Linked DNA regions of Saccharomyces cerevisiae S288C. The protein of the gene in region 1 purifies or fractionates together with the protein of each later gene. This does not show direct contact. Each region holds a gene or a part of one and is shown on either strand. Other genes may lie near its edges.

Evidence for each region.
Region 2: the proteins of MLH3 (region 1) and AIM9 purify together in Saccharomyces cerevisiae (affinity purification with mass spectrometry, with the first as the bait; one large-scale study listed by BioGRID). This does not show direct contact.
Region 3: the proteins of MLH3 (region 1) and MRX9 purify together in Saccharomyces cerevisiae (affinity purification with mass spectrometry, with the first as the bait; one large-scale study listed by BioGRID). This does not show direct contact.

The regions. Positions count from the first base shown.
Region 1 is NC_001148.4:238,020-243,474, forward strand, and holds MLH3 (mismatch repair protein MLH3), read right to left. Parts: upstream 3,479-5,455; coding exon 1,331-3,478; downstream 1-1,330. Other genes in the region: SET6 (Set6p), read right to left, coding at 1-1,058; SVS1 (Svs1p), read right to left, coding at 3,899-4,681; YPL162C (uncharacterized protein), read right to left, coding at 5,187-5,455. UniProt on the Saccharomyces cerevisiae protein: Involved in DNA mismatch repair (MMR), correcting insertion-deletion loops (IDLs) resulting from DNA replication, DNA damage or from recombination events between non-identical sequences during meiosis.
Region 2 is NC_001137.3:317,791-323,269, forward strand, and holds AIM9 (Aim9p), read left to right. Parts: upstream 1-2,172; coding exon 2,173-4,056; downstream 4,057-5,479. Other genes in the region: ICP55 (aminopeptidase), read right to left, coding at 1-552; YER078W-A (uncharacterized protein), read left to right, coding at 856-1,020; YER079W (uncharacterized protein), read left to right, coding at 1,130-1,762; phosphoglycerate dehydrogenase SER3, read left to right, coding at 4,896-5,479.
Region 3 is NC_001136.10:402,272-407,075, forward strand, and holds MRX9 (Mrx9p), read right to left. Parts: upstream 2,687-4,804; coding exon 1,424-2,686; downstream 1-1,423. Other genes in the region: serine/threonine/tyrosine protein kinase MPS1, read right to left, coding at 1-1,020; putative serine/threonine protein kinase RTK1, read right to left, coding at 3,073-4,804. UniProt on the Saccharomyces cerevisiae protein: Component of MIOREX complexes, large expressome-like assemblies of ribosomes with factors involved in all the steps of post-transcriptional gene expression.

The DNA.
Region 1 (5,455 bases):
GCCAAAAAGGCCCGGCGTTTTACTGTTGGTAAGTCCAGTACCCCGGAATAATCGATACAGATCTGCTCATCCTTTTTTATATCTCTATTCATAGTGAATAGCATTGAATTACCTTTACGATATTTCGTTATATTGGGGTTACAAGAGTGGTTGAAATAGGAGGCTTCTGGAAATACCCAGTATCCAAAATATTCTCTGCTGTCTGAGGCTTCGCCCTCTTGCCATAAACCAAAAGCATTCCCATATTCAGTACCTAATATATGTCTCAATAGCGGTATGGAGAGCATTCTATGCAAATGTGAAGGTAATAGAATATAGAGTGTTTGAAATACTAATTTTTGAAAGTGCAGTAAGACAGGAAATTTAGATATTTTGCTAAGCTCATTCGATTGTAACATATTGAAAGCTCGGTATGTTATGCACTGAGGATCCATATATTTAAGATTAAACAAACTCTCGCACACAAACCTAATGCAGCAATATTCATCTTCGCAAGTGGGTGGTAATTGATTTATTCTCTTCGCAGATTTCATGTTGTTGATGCGCGGTATCCATTTACTTTCAATCTCATCCCATGAAGACTGTATGACATTTTCCGAAATTAAGATAGAGTTTAATTTTTCCTCCTGTTCAGAGGTATAATTATATCTTTTCAGCATGCTTGGAAAATGATGCAGTAATATCTCATAACATTCAATTAATTCAATGATATTTGGTATTTGAAGATAAGAAGTTCTGCAATGTTCTGAACAGAACCACAGTCCAGCGCCCAGAAACTTCTTAGGGTTAATTTGGTAGTGTGCATTACAAACCAAATCTCTCAGGTAATCGTAGTTTAGTTTGTACTTCATAGTTTTCGCATTAGCGTATGCGAAACAATTGTGACAAACTTCCTTCCTGAACTCATAGGAAATAGATGTTCCTGTAAAATTACTGACTTGCAAGACTGTTGTCCCTTTAGGAATATTACCATTACTGAAACAAGCCCTACCGCCCCATTTAGTTTGCCTAACCTGGAAAAATGGGGAAATTTCATGTACGTCTCCATCAATAGTCATTTTTAAATTTTAGGTTATTTTGTGTTTGCATATATAAATGGTATATATATATATATATATATTCATATAAATCTAGGGCTACATTTATAATATCAGAGATACATAAAACGGTAATGCAACAGTGGAGCAGTATTGTATCGCACGTTTCTTTTTTGTTTTTGTTTTTTAAATTTTTCCAGGTTTTGACAACGTGATGAGGTAATCTTCTGTTTTGCATATCCGCGCAATTTAAAATGCAGGCGACAAACCTTGTTCCAGGATTAAGGTTCTCTTTACTTCAATTCTGCAATGGGTACCATAGAAGGTCTCCCGTGGGCGCATTCGAATGGGTTATGGCATCGCGAGAGCTTGCTAATTAAAATTATGCACTCTTGCCGGGTTAATTCATCTCCAAACATAACAGCAGATCTGCATGCCTTGCTGTTAAGAATTTCATGAAAGACCGTTGGAACGCAGCTTGAGTACTTCCACCAATATAATTTATCAACCGAAGTGTAGTTTTCGAAATGGGATAAATCCATTGGAAGTTTTTTGAAATCCTTCAGGTCATGAGCATGTTGCAGCAAGACCATTTTTAAGTAGTCTTTATCCCCGTTATATTTGGAAGTTAACATCTCAGGCAGTGTTTTAATTTCCAAAAGTGAGGTTTCCATTGTTCCCTCAATTGTTTCATAGCCAATTCCCCACTTTTTAAATTCACTTTGATAATGCTTAAATAAGTCAGCCTCAGTACGATCAACTTCAATGCAACAATCCTTGAGGTCTCGTGCAACAAAAGTTCCGGTTACAACTTCTGTCAACAGGCTATAAAATAGCTCTTCTAGTCTTATCCTCTCATCGCAAGCATGTTGATCAACTAGAACTAATAGTGGGCAATTATGAATAGATTGGTCTAAACAACGTATGAGAATAAATTTTTTATCTACTTGATTAATCACTTCATATTTTGCCAGGACAGATCTTGATATTGAAAAATCTGTTATGGTTTTTCCTATACTGTCATAATCTTCTGTAAAACCACTATCGTAGGGCCTGGAAGAGAGTTTATTCCGTAACCTTGATTTCTGACCGTCGATTCTTATATTCTTGATTTTTTCGTAGTTTATTGTACTATTGTTTATTCTACATCCATTGACAGCGGGTTTTCCTATGTATGAATTAATGCGTGCAATCTTCATTTTTGAATTTAATACTTGATTACGTTTACTGATTTGGATTCGACTATCAGGCAATGTTGCCGTCTTCTGTGAACAATTGACTATTTCGAAAGATGAATCTGATTTATCAGGCGTTAAGTATCCTTGAAATGTCAGAAAGGAGCGAATGGTCTTAACGATCAATGGTTCAATGGTACGTATATGGGAAGGCTTAACAATTTTCTTTGCTGGATCTTGTAACAGGTCATCGATAGTTTGGGGGCACCGAACATCAAGGATGAAGACGGGATGTGATCGATACGGTTTTCCCACGCTTTTAGTTTTGAGTAAACTCATGCCTTTCTCCCCGAAATCTTGTGCTTGGAATAAAGAATCGACGTATCCTTGAAAGGCGCTGTCCGCATAACGTCTGCCATTGATATATATAAATTGAAGATCCTTCAATCCAACGGGCATCTTCGATATGATCCCTTCAATCTGATATTCATTAAACTTCAAGGAAACTTTCTTAAGCATATCCGGTGGTATTATTGCCCCAAACACATTTCTCAGTACTTGAGACATTTGCTGGTGCTTTGTTAACCCCTCAGTTATGTTCTTTGAGCGGAAAAGAACTTCTGTATTGATTCTGAGTTTGTCTGTATATTGTACGTTGAGTGAAATCATCGGGTGCATTACCAGTATCTGTAGCATATCTGCCTTTATTGTGTTAAAAGTCTTGAAAGGGGGTTCTTCCTTTAGTATTCTGCGCCGGACAGGTAAATTATACAGCATATCTTCAACAATAACAACAGTACCAGACTTTGTTCGGCTCCAAGGACAAATTTTCCAAAAAGGATCTATTGGGAGTATGGTATTCTCACTCAACATGACGCTTTTGGATGGAAATTTTCTCATCCATGCAGAGTTGTAATCCTTTTTCTTGGAACAAACAAACAGATTAGAGACATTAGAAATGCTATATAGGGCGTCTCCTCTGTAACCGTAGGTTTTCATCGTTACTAAATCATTCATCTTTCGTATTTTGGAAGTATAATTTTGTGTGGCCAATATATTTAGGTCACTTCGAGTCAAACCAATACCATCATCGTAAACTGCAAAGCTCAAATTAGGGAGGTCGATCATGACGTCGATAGTGGTAGCGTGTGCATCTACAGAATTTTGAACTATTTCTCTAACCGCTGATGCTAGCGATACCGTGCATGCCTGAGATTTAAGTCTTTCAGAAACATCAGAATCTAATTTCCTAATATGCTGGCTCATTTTCTTTTTGAGTTGACGAGTTCACGTTCATTCTTCCTTGAAAGCCTCGCTGGTTTATGTATCGGTGGTTGAAATCATCATTCGATGTTTATTGCAAACTATTGATCTTTTTTTCCTGCCCCTTCTCGTGGCGCTCGCAAATAAACGCAAACTAAATATAAGCGTACAAACAGACAGATTTTGTGCTACTTATTGATTATTTAGAAAAGCTACTATTGTTCTTGAAAGTCATAATAGAACTACTTATATATGTATCAATGGGGTTGAATTTGCGCTTTATGTATTTTTTAAGGAATGATATGAAAGTTGTCTCTAGTCTATTTATTGAATCGTAAATCAAAAAATACTAGTGATCCCATATAGGATAACTAGTAAAGGTTTCGTTAAAAGTAGCTTTTTTTCTCGATTCAACGTCACGCATTAAATGTGGGTACCGTTGTTAGCAGAACCTGTAACATTACTAGCATCGGCAGTTATAGTAACGTATTTAACAACAGGCTCCGCCGTAGTAGTAACCACTTCGGTAACTGCAGCAGCTGTAACTGTAACATACTTGGTAGACGCACTACAGTACTGTTCATCGGCGGATGTGGTTTGAATCATCTGAGATTGATGTTCAGCAGAGACTAACTTTTCTAAGGCATCAACATTGGAGGCGGCGTCCCCAGCTGTGGATGTCGCTATTGTATTACTAGCTTGGGAATTATATACAGTAACCAATAAGGTTGAGGTCAAAGTAGAGGTGTATGTACTGCCCGATTCGGTTACTGTAGAAGCAATTTCTGTGACGCTCGTGGAAATCTGTTCAGCCTTCTCGTTGGCGGATTCCGTAGATAGAGTTATTATGTAAGTAGAGGTCAGAGTAGACGTGTAGGTGGTGTCTGTGTCAGAATAGGTGGTGGTGTATTCATTTGTGGACGTAGTTAGGCTAGGCGTGCTTGCAGTAGGTGTACTTGCAGTAGGTGTACTAATAATAGCAGCTGATTGGGAGGTAGTGAACCAGTAGGTAGAGTAAAAAGTAGATGTTATGTAGAAGGTGGTTGTTTCATCGCTGTACGTTAATGTTGTCTCTTGAGGTGAAACAGAGTATGTTGGAGTTAATGTCTTCGTGTATGGTGTATAGCTCGTAGTTTCATTGACATATAAGGCAGAAGCGAAGTTGGAGGTTACCAGTAGTAAACTACACAATATTTTGAAAATCATTGCGATATATATTCTAATTTGTTGGTTGTGTTAGACAACTAGTGTACAAGAAAGAGACTAGATGGCCATAACGGATCTTGATAATTCATTTTCTTACGTCTTTTAAATACACTCCCTCTCCATCACATACAGATTGATTTAATGTCTACCTCTTCTAAGCCATCTGAAATTCTTGGGTCTTTCTCTGTTTACGGTTATTTGAAACACGAAATTACTTAAGAACACGAAATGCCAATTATTAGCGTCGCGAATTGAATATCCAATGCGGCGGGAAAATCAAAAAACGAAAATAGAATAGGAAAAACTGCCGTAGTTATAGAATCAAACCTGAGCGCCAGTTTCATTCTTCTAGCGGAGAATGCTTTCCCAAACAATAACCCACAGATTATGTGTTGAAGAGTCTAGGCTTGTGGAAATTGAAATCAAAATGTTTGTTCCCTTTAAAAAAAATCAATTAAGCAAGGAAAGGAAATAAACAGTGCATGCTTTCCTTATCCTTGGAATACTATATTATGCTACCATAGCTGGAAATGTTGTTATCCTTGTTAGGCACTTCATTTGAGACTTCCGATAAATCAGGAATTTCGTCATTTAGGAATGTGTTCGTTTCAAAATTCTCTGCATTGGTTATCGTTAGGCTCTCAGAATGTAACCTGATGACATTGTCGACACAAAAGTACTGGAAGCAATTCAGTAAGATAGGAAAGACAAACATGACCAGAAAAACTTGAAAGTTTGGCCATGAATCTGACCAGCCAAGGATAAGATCGGCGA
Region 2 (5,479 bases), on another chromosome or scaffold:
TATTTTGGGCAAATATTTAGACAAATCGTTAATGGAAGCAGATTCATCGGCATTGAAAATTTCTTGAACACCATAAACCCCAGACCTAAATCCTTCCCACTTTTCAGCAAACGCATCCTTTGGCGGAACCAGCATGTGGAAAATTGTATCACTTAAACTATCCGTTGGCTTTTCTAAAATCATGACCGAATTAGGTTCATTCCAACCACTAAGATAAAACAGGTCATTTTCCTGTTGGAACGGATAAAATACTGCTCCAGATGCAAATTGGATATCGTTACCAGCTAAAATCACACAACTTTTGGGAGGCAATGTTTCCGCCAACCTAATTCTTCTTTCATAGTATTCCAAGGCTGAAATGCCTGGTGTCAACTCGCCCGACTTTATAAGGAACGGCCTTGTCTCATGCAGTGGTTGGCCTGCCTCAATGGGGATTCTGACTCTATTAGTAAAAGTATTACTTTTATGCTGTTCCAATGGCGATACCAACTTCGAGAAGTATCTTTGGCAAGATTGCATAGAAAACCGTACTGGGTTTATCCTATGTAACATATCAACAGAAAATGACCACTTTTCCTATTAGCTTTTTCTATTATATTCTTTAGAATTGGTGGAGTTTCTTGCGCAAACGATCCACTTTTGCAGTGCAGTAAGTGATCCCTATACCAGGTGAGTTGATATATATTTACTGTATCTTGTACTATTTTATGAACAAGAAAGGCTATTACTCACAACAGTTTTGGTTTCAGTCAAAGTTTATGTGTGAGTGTGAGTGTGAATGTGTGCGTGTTGCATAATTGCATTTGGCCTTTCCGAGAAATAAGTCATTCTTTATTTTTCTCTCTTTACGGTTTAATGGTGCGGCTTTCGTATCTGCGTCTCATCCTTCCCCCTTGCCGCTTGTCAGAACTCTCTAGCTTGGCGATTCTCTATCAACCTGTTATTCCAATTCTTATATCTACCATTACCTTCCAGCATTTTTTCAAATGTGTTCACACGCCCTGTAACGTTTATATATAAATATTTTAATATTTAACTTAGCTTATGCATATATAGTTAAAAGGGATAATAACAATAAGAATAAAAAACACAAACTGCTGAGATAAGAAAAGGAAGCGAATAGTTAATAATGCCTGATTCATCACATTCAATAAGCTCAAAAGATGTTGCATCTGCCATCTCTCTCTATGATCAGTCCATTTACACTAATAACAGGTCTACTAACCTGGACTTAGATCAGAGATCAATGAGCCCTTCCAATATTGCCTCTGGTGAAGATAGGATAACGAGAACGAACTCAGGTTGCTCCATCACATCAGGTGCCTCCATGATTGCCACGAAGGATGGTATTCAGGGGATTAATGTCAAAAGAGATGGGATTCCGAAATATTCACTTAATTTATTGAATTCCATGGTTCGAAAACAATATGATCACAATAATGGAACAAAGTCTCCTACCCCGAAGACTAGCAATATGGTAGACCCTAAGAACAAAAAGAAGAACAAAAAAAAGAAGAATGACAAGGATGACAAATACAAGGTATCGCATGATCAAACCGAAAAGTTTTACAAACTCAACACCACTTCCAACTCCAATCTCACCTCTGATTCTACTACTTCGTTATCGGACCAGTTTTATTTCCAGAAAAGTAACGCTGATTCTGCTCCATTAGACAATGCAAATTACCCACTCTCCGACCATTCCCCCTCCCTAAACTCTATGGATAATACTACAAAGCATAGCAGCAATGTGCACACTTGAATCACGTGAACCACAGTAACCTAATTGCTCAAATTTTGAGAGTTAAAGGAAAGAATAAAATATATAAATGATACGTTTATACCCGCTAAAAAAAAAAAATATAAAACAAAAAAAGGATCTCATAAGACGATTTGTTGGGATATGTCCACATCTTTCGGCTATATACTACATTTAGCTGTTTCCCGTTTCTTTGTATTATTCCCTTCTTATGTATAACTTTTACTAGTAATAATTATAATAAATATTCGTTTTGAAACATGGTAATTTCAAATGTTCAATGTATTTTCGGGCCGATTGCTGACCAGCGACACTTTAAGCCGAACTGTATTTAGTAGACTCCCTTTTCTCATCAGCGAAGAAGAAGTAGCAAAAGCTGTTTAGCAAGCAAGACAGCAATACGAAGACCAAGCATGATTAGGTACACTGTTGCTGGCCATTCCAGAAGGTGTGTAGTAGGAGCTTCGAAAAGAGTGGGTGCAATTAAATGTATCACCGTCGCCGCCACCAAGAGATTTATCTCCAATAAGCCAAACGAAGTTTTTACCAAGCTAACGAATGACAATGATCCAAAGAGAGATGCCTTTTTCAAATATACGTGGGGCTCATGGCTTAAAAATGATAAGCAAGAAAAGGAAAAAAGATTCACGAAGTTTTCGATTGAAGGTTTAAATCGCATTCTCAATGACATCTACATTCAATCTAATGAAATGGCTAAGGCCCCCGACGGTAAGATCTTACCACCAGTGTTTAACAAGAACTTGACCGTTTCATTGGTCAATAACGTTGTACCAAAGAATATAGGTAAAATCAACCCAAATGAAAAAGTTCAAGTAACCACATTATCTAGTATTCACGAAGGTAAACATCACAGAATATACAAGGTCGACACGAATTTGAACAAGGCATTTATCTTGAGGATTCCTTATCCGCTGGAAAATGAAAACACTCTATCCTACAGAATAAGAAGTGAAGTAGCAACCATGGATTTTGCTGACTTGAAGTTGGGCATCAAAGTTCCCAAGATTTTTTGTTATGGTGTCAATTCTTTGAACCCTGTAAGGCAGCCTTTTGTCTTACAAGAATTTATCGAAGGAGAACTCTTGATGAAAGATTGGGATCCATTGATTGAAGACGGTTCCTCCAATCAAAAAAAATATGACAATGTTATTAAACAAGTTTCTGATTTTCAGTCGAAGTTAGTGTCATTGAAATTAAATGCATTTGGATCCATATATTTTAACAATGACTTAAAAGACGGAAATGAGAAGGAGTTTGTTAAGGAAGACATATACGATGGGGAAACTAATCCGGATCTACAAAACAGATGGAAAATTGGGCCATCCGTGGAAAGATGTCTCTGGAGACATAAATCTCACTTGGATTTTCATAAACAAATGAAACCTTTTTTGGGACCATGGCCAAAGAAGTCTCCAATGGATATAATTAAAAATACTGGCCTATTGGAAGCTGAAAATGCTAAAACTAGAATAGCCATGAAAGAGGCAGGAAGTTCAGCTGAATTGATGTATCCTCGAACTTTGAAGGAGCAAATAACTACCTATGAAAATTTAGCTAAGATTGCCCCGGATTTATTCAACGTCAAAACAAAGGCCATTCCAAATATGCAGGAACTATTGTCACCACGTTTGTTTCATCCTGATCTAGACCCCATGAATATTATTGTTAACAAAGAAGCACAAGAAGCCTATCTATTAGATTTTGAAGGAGCATGCACAAAACCTTTCATTTTACAGAATTCGCCACAATTCATCGCCTATGATGGGCCCAAGATTTATGACTTAAAGGAGGACATAACCGATTTTGACAAATTATCTGAGGCGGAAAAGGTGCAATATCAGTTCATGTACAAGCGCACCCGTAATCAACATCAATGGGAGAAAAAATTAAATGACAATAATCCTAAATTAATTACTGCAGTTGCCCCACCTGTTAAGCTACTGAGAAGCCCATATATTGCAGCTGTCGAAAGAAAAACGGAAGAAGAGTATTTACTTATTGATGAATCACTATTGCAATTGAAGGAAGTTTGGGACATCTTTGCCCAGAATGAGTTAGTGAATCAGAAAAAGTTTCCTCTAAACTATAGTAAAGAAGATATTGAAAGACATGTTGAGGATTTGCAAAAATTACACGAAAAGCTAATCTCTACACCATTTGCTGCCACTCAAGGGTGGATTCCTCAAGATATGTTTGATCAACTATTAAATTCCGGCAGTATTGTTAAGCAAGAGAACGGAGACTACACCGTGAAGCAACCTGAAGCTACCAAATAATCTATACTAAAAATGAAATATTTTTTTGTTTTCTTTACCTCATTCAACTGTATAGAACGTTATAACAAAATAATCAAGTTAAAACCCTTTTTTGTACACAATGGAATCTCTTCCATTTACTAATCAACTTAACAATGCTGGATTGGATATATTGATAACGTTTTAAAAAGCGTTGCGTGATGTTTGGGTGCAATTGGCGGAAAAGCGGAACTTTCAAATTTACGATAGGTGGAGATACATCTCCACCTTTCTCCCCATTATCTTTGAATTTTCCTCAAATATATAAAGAGAACAACAAATCCATAGAAATGCCATTGTTTAATCCTGATTATCTACATTGTTTTAGTTTTTTACTCACAATCGAGTAATGCCTTTGTTTGGCCAAGCTATGTGCAAATATCACAAATTAAAAATTTGGTTAAGCAGTTAGGCTGGACCTAATATTTTAGAAAAACCTAATTTTTTTTGTGGACCCATTTTCGATATTTACTCACAAATGGAATTCAAGGGGAACAACTTCGGTCTCAGCACTTTAATTATTCTTCTCGTTCCCACCTAATTTCGCAATTTATTGTCCTTGACTTCTACCACGAGAAAAAAATTAAGAAAATGCAACGCTGCCCGTGCAGGGTTTTCTGAGCGGGATGAAAAAATCAGACAAATATCCAAGTTATGAGTAATTACTTTGTTGGAAGGAGGGAGCAGAGGATAAGGAAATTCTTAAAACTGTTATGTATATAAAGGAAGAACCATTTCTAGTTATTTCACTTTTTGATACTTGTCAACTATCTTAGTAAAAATACAGAACTCTATAAAGAACCACAGAAAAATCGACAGCAATGACAAGCATTGACATTAACAACTTACAAAATACCTTTCAACAAGCTATGAATATGAGCGGCTCCCCAGGCGCTGTTTGTACTTCACCTACGCAATCTTTCATGAATACCGTTCCACAGCGCTTGAATGCTGTAAAGCACCCAAAAATTTTGAAGCCTTTCTCAACGGGTGATATGAAGATTTTACTATTAGAAAACGTTAATCAAACTGCTATTACAATCTTCGAAGAGCAAGGTTACCAAGTCGAATTCTATAAATCTTCATTGCCCGAGGAAGAGTTGATCGAAAAGATCAAGGACGTTCATGCTATTGGTATCAGATCAAAGACTAGATTAACTTCAAATGTCTTACAACATGCGAAGAATCTGGTTTGTATTGGTTGTTTCTGTATCGGTACCAACCAAGTTGACTTAGACTACGCTACCAGCAGAGGTATTGCTGTTTTCAACTCGCCTTTCTCCAACTCAAGATCAGTAGCAGAATTGGTCATCGCTGAAATCATTAGTTTAGCAAGACAACTAGGTGATAGATCTATCGAATTACATACCGGTACATGGAATAAGGTTGCTGCTAGATGTTGGGA
Region 3 (4,804 bases), on another chromosome or scaffold:
TTTATGAATTGGGCTGTTGAAATTGCTGTTATTGCTAGTATCAATATTCTCCTTGAGAGCTCTTCTTATTTCGATCGATGACTTAGATGAAGATGATCCAGTAGAAACTTTTCGCCTGGGTTGAGAACCATTATTGGATGTTATAGAATTGTCCTTGTTTGCCAATAAGTTGTTACTAGAAAGTGAAGAGGAAGAAGACCTACTTTTATAAAGCAATTCTCTGGAACTATGTTTTCGGAGTGCTGCTTGTCTATTTTCTTCTCTTTGTTTATCAAAGTAGATTTGAGATATTAGTGGAAGGTCACTTGTGGGAAGATTATGTTTTTTAATATACTGGATAGGATTCAAATCTCCAAAATCAATTGAATCATAATCCGTATTTCTCTTCGTTTCTTTAAAGTTTGTTTGGTGAGAATCCTCAAGTGGTAATTCCACTGTCTCCCTTGCATTTATTGGCTGGTTTGGAGAGTTAGGCACATCCTCATCAAAGATATTTGTCAAAGTCATCGCTCTCTTTGCAGGACCCAGCTTCGTTGTCCTATTGGATATTAAAAATCTCTTACTTCTCCTTTCAGCATACTTTGCCGTAATATCTTCTTTCATATTTTGTCGCAAATTCCTTATCCTTTCAAAACTCTTATCAAGACTATTTCCAACATTTATCTCTATGTCACTAGTGTTCATCGTCGTCATGCTAGTCTGGTGATTATTTCTCAGATATCGTCCGAACAAGGTTGAATGCGATGAGGTACTAGTATGACCGGATGTCAAATTGCCCATTGACGGTGGGGGGTGACTCCTTGATGAACTCCTGTCCATTTCTTCTAATCGATTTGCGATCTTGTCATTATTATGACTTGATAATATCTCTGATGCTGAAGTTTTTTCTGTGTGGGAAAGTAAAGCTGATCCGAAATTGCTTAGTTTTGGAGGCGTAGTGAACTCTTCGTCATCTGAAAACTGTCGTGTATTAGTTCTCGATTTTAAATCCACATAATCATGGAATGAGTTTGTTGACATGTTTGTTTTGAGATCATCCAGTTCTTGCAGAAACAATTTATTATTTTGGTTGTAAAGCTACTTCTATAAACAACTGCAATATTCCTATTCAGACTTCAGTGGGCTGGGTCAAGTAGGCTTCTATAAATTTTGTAGGTTACTATTAATATAGTAGATCTTAAATTCTCTTTAAGCTTGCCTTCACATAAACATCACTATTACTCTTTGCAACCCTTGGTAGTTTTTTTTTGGTTTTGTTTACTATTTCTAATTGATATTATCATTTAATACGATGGAAGTGACACCAAAAATTATTTTGTGTCACTGCACACCATAAATAAAGGTATTGGTCAGAATATATAAACATGTATGATATATAAATTGTGGCATCACAGTAATGCTCAAACAAAAACTTTAATGTTCTTTACTCTTTTAGGGTGTATTCAGTGTTTTTGTCGTTTATTTTTGAAATGTTATATTTTGAAAAGAATTCTCCAGAATCACCATTTGTTGTGATAACAAAGTGTTTTGATAGTAGCGTATTTACACTTTTGATGGCAATAATTGTGTTAAGGGTTTTGCTGCTGTTAGAGGTTTCACTTTCTTGTAATATCTTGAAAAAATCAGCCTTCGAATAAGCTCCGCCATTGAACATTATTGCAGGAAAGGATTCGTCTAAAATAATGACATATACGTCTGCAATATGCTTCTTGCCCTCGAGTTTTTTTGAAGGGTTTAGCGGTAAATTTTTCATTGAGTCTAAATACAACTTGTATCGAACACTGGAAAATATGAAAGTTTGGAATTTTCTGAGTTCACTTCGGCAATTATCAATATCGAGTTCCAAGTCATAGGATTCTTTGATCCATTTCTCGACGCTGTCTCCTAAAAAGTAGGATCTTATTCCCAGTTCGTTCTTGGTGAAGGACTCCAACACTCTTTTCTGCAGGAAACTTAGAAACTGCTTTCTGGTTTCTTCTTGCTTTACTAAATCAACATTCAAACCTTTGGCAAACTCGTTTGGAATTCCCATCCTGGAAGATATCTCTTTCCAACTCTGAACCATAGGTTGTAATTGTAATGATCTCATGGTGGGTAATGTTATTTTCAATTTTGTTTTCGGTAAGGAGGTCAAGACATCTTTGTAAAAGATATTTTTCTGCCATTTTTTGAATTGTTTAAAAAAAAAGAACATAATAAGAAGGGGAAAAAAAAAGTGAAAAATTAAGGGAATAACGACTATCGTTGATGTTAGAATGAATGTGAAGATACTTGCAGTTGCAAATATGATAAAAAATGGGGAGACTTTATATACTTTCACAAACGGCTTGTTACCGTTCTTTGGTGACTTCGAAGAAAATATAAACTTTATTTCTGCACGTCGTGACGAATGGAAGGCTCTTTTACCAACCAACCTGGATGTCGAGCTTTTCAGACTGGATAGAAATTGGTGAGTGGTAGAACAATAATTAGAAGAAATGCATGAAAGCTTACGAAACTGGAAACTTTCTCCTCGATATTTTGGAATTGCGGGAGATGTAATCGCCGAAGGCACTGGTTTAGGAAAAGCCCTTAATATTCCTGGCAAGTACATATTGAAACCCTTTCCATTATTGAGACTATTGAGCGTAACGCTGTTCATAAGCTCCCTTGTCCTACTGGCTAATCCCACTGGAACTTTGAACATTTTTTCCTACTCATATGTGGTTATGGTGGTCTTATTTATCTGCGCTAAATCACTTTTCAATTATTCTTTGCAGTTTATAGGGGAGGAGACTTCCTCTTTGTAAAATCTAATAGGGCGTGTTCACAATTTTATGCGTCGGGTGACTTCAATTTGGCGCCCGTTGAGATTATCTAAAAAATGCTTTTATTTATTTAAGCGCTTTTTGTTTTGACGAATGTATTTATGTTTTTGTATATATATGAGCGTTTTTTTTTTCCAGATTTAACTAGTTTTCTTTTTCACCTGTATGCACACCATCTTTTATTCCTATATAATGCCTTTTATAGTACTTTGAATCTTCTATATACAATTTTTTAGGTTTTATCTTTTAAAAAGTGTTTATTTCATTAATTTGAATCTTTATTCCCGTGTTGCTTGGTCAGCTCATTCAACTCCTCCTCAGTGACCAAGTGATGCTTATGATTCTTTGGTTTTTCAACCAAATCGCCAGATGTAGGGTCAACTTCACAGGAGGGGACGGATACAAGCCAATCATCCTTTACCACGTCATTCATTAAAACTCTTTGCTTTGGTTCTAAAGCCAACATTCTGCCTATTATTGTCCGTGAATGTCTTGGCAGTAGCCTTAATATTTTATTTGGCCCCCGAACTATATCATCTTCGTCCTCAGGTTCCTCAGTAAATAACCTAAATGAGTTGAAGCTCTTTTTTGGAGCCTTCCAAGGAAATCTTTTAAGGACCATACAGTAAAATATAATAGCGATAGACCACACATCTGCTACTCTTGGATCGTAGGATGTTTGTTTCAATAACTCAGGAGCCAAATAAGGGTCAGAACCCACGATTCCATGTGATTTTACAATGGTATCTTCGTAAGGGTATTGGAACACTACAGCGCTCCCAAAGTCAATCAGTTTCAAGATGCCATCTTTAGTGACGACACAATTGTCCAATTTTAAATCCCTATGAGCTAAGCCCATAGAGTGCAGGTAATTAACGCCGTGGCACAGCTGCTTGAAGTAACAGTTGACTTCATCTTGTGTCATTAGGTTACTCATGACGAGATTAAAAAAATCATATGGCGCATACTCCATTACTAATAAATAGGTGTCACCTTCAGTCAACATATCTAGGGTTTCAACGATATTTTCGTGGTGCAGCGTGGAACCAATACAAAATTCAGTGGTAACCTTCTTAGAATAATTAGCTAATTGAGACTGATTAGTTCCTTCATTGTTTAAGTGTGGTTTTCTGAACATTTTGCAAGCAAATAACTTGCCGTCTGTTCTTTCTACTACGGACACTGAACCGGAAGCTCCTTCGCCTAATTTTCTACCAGGAATACCATATTTTTCTAATAGCTCCACTGGGTTATCTGTTTCGTATAACGCTTTTCCGTTACTTTCTACTATATTTTCATTGGTGTTCAAATTGAGCTTCGGTTTTGTAGGGGTGGATCCACGGTTGTGATGGTGGTGATGATGATGGTTATCGTGATAATCATTATGAATTTTTTTGAAAAATCTTGTTAATCTCAAGGATTTTTTCTTTCTTGATGAGGTATCATCACTACCGCTTGAAGAATTATGCTGTAGTTCCACGGACCCAGGGGTGGAGGCTTGAGAGTCCATGAAGTGTTTGTCTTCAATCTGTTTCTGTAGTATCTCTACGGGATGCATATGTGCCTGGTATGATAAATTCGAAGAGGGTGTATCAGATTTTGCAGAAGACACTGTAGAAATGTTGCTATGAGCTGTAGAGCGAACGGGGTGAGGATGGTGGAAAGCATCTTTTGAGCCTTGATGAATGTAGTTTATTGGATTGTGAATACTATGGGGTAAGTGGGGCACAGTGTGTCCCGTACGAACGGGATTATGATTGTTAGGTAAGGGCCGTGAAGGAGAGTAGTCAATAGGAGCTTTTTTAGCTGAAGTAGGAGAAATACCTGTCAAAGTAGAACTTGCTACTACGTGTGACTCCTTTGACAACGCGCCATTTCCCTGGGGGCTCTTTCCTATGGTAGATCTTCGGTCGTTGGGTTTGTTATACTTTATTTGATCCTCTTGGTCAGAATCTGTATTCTTTTTTGAAGATCTAGAAGAAGACCTTGAAACATCA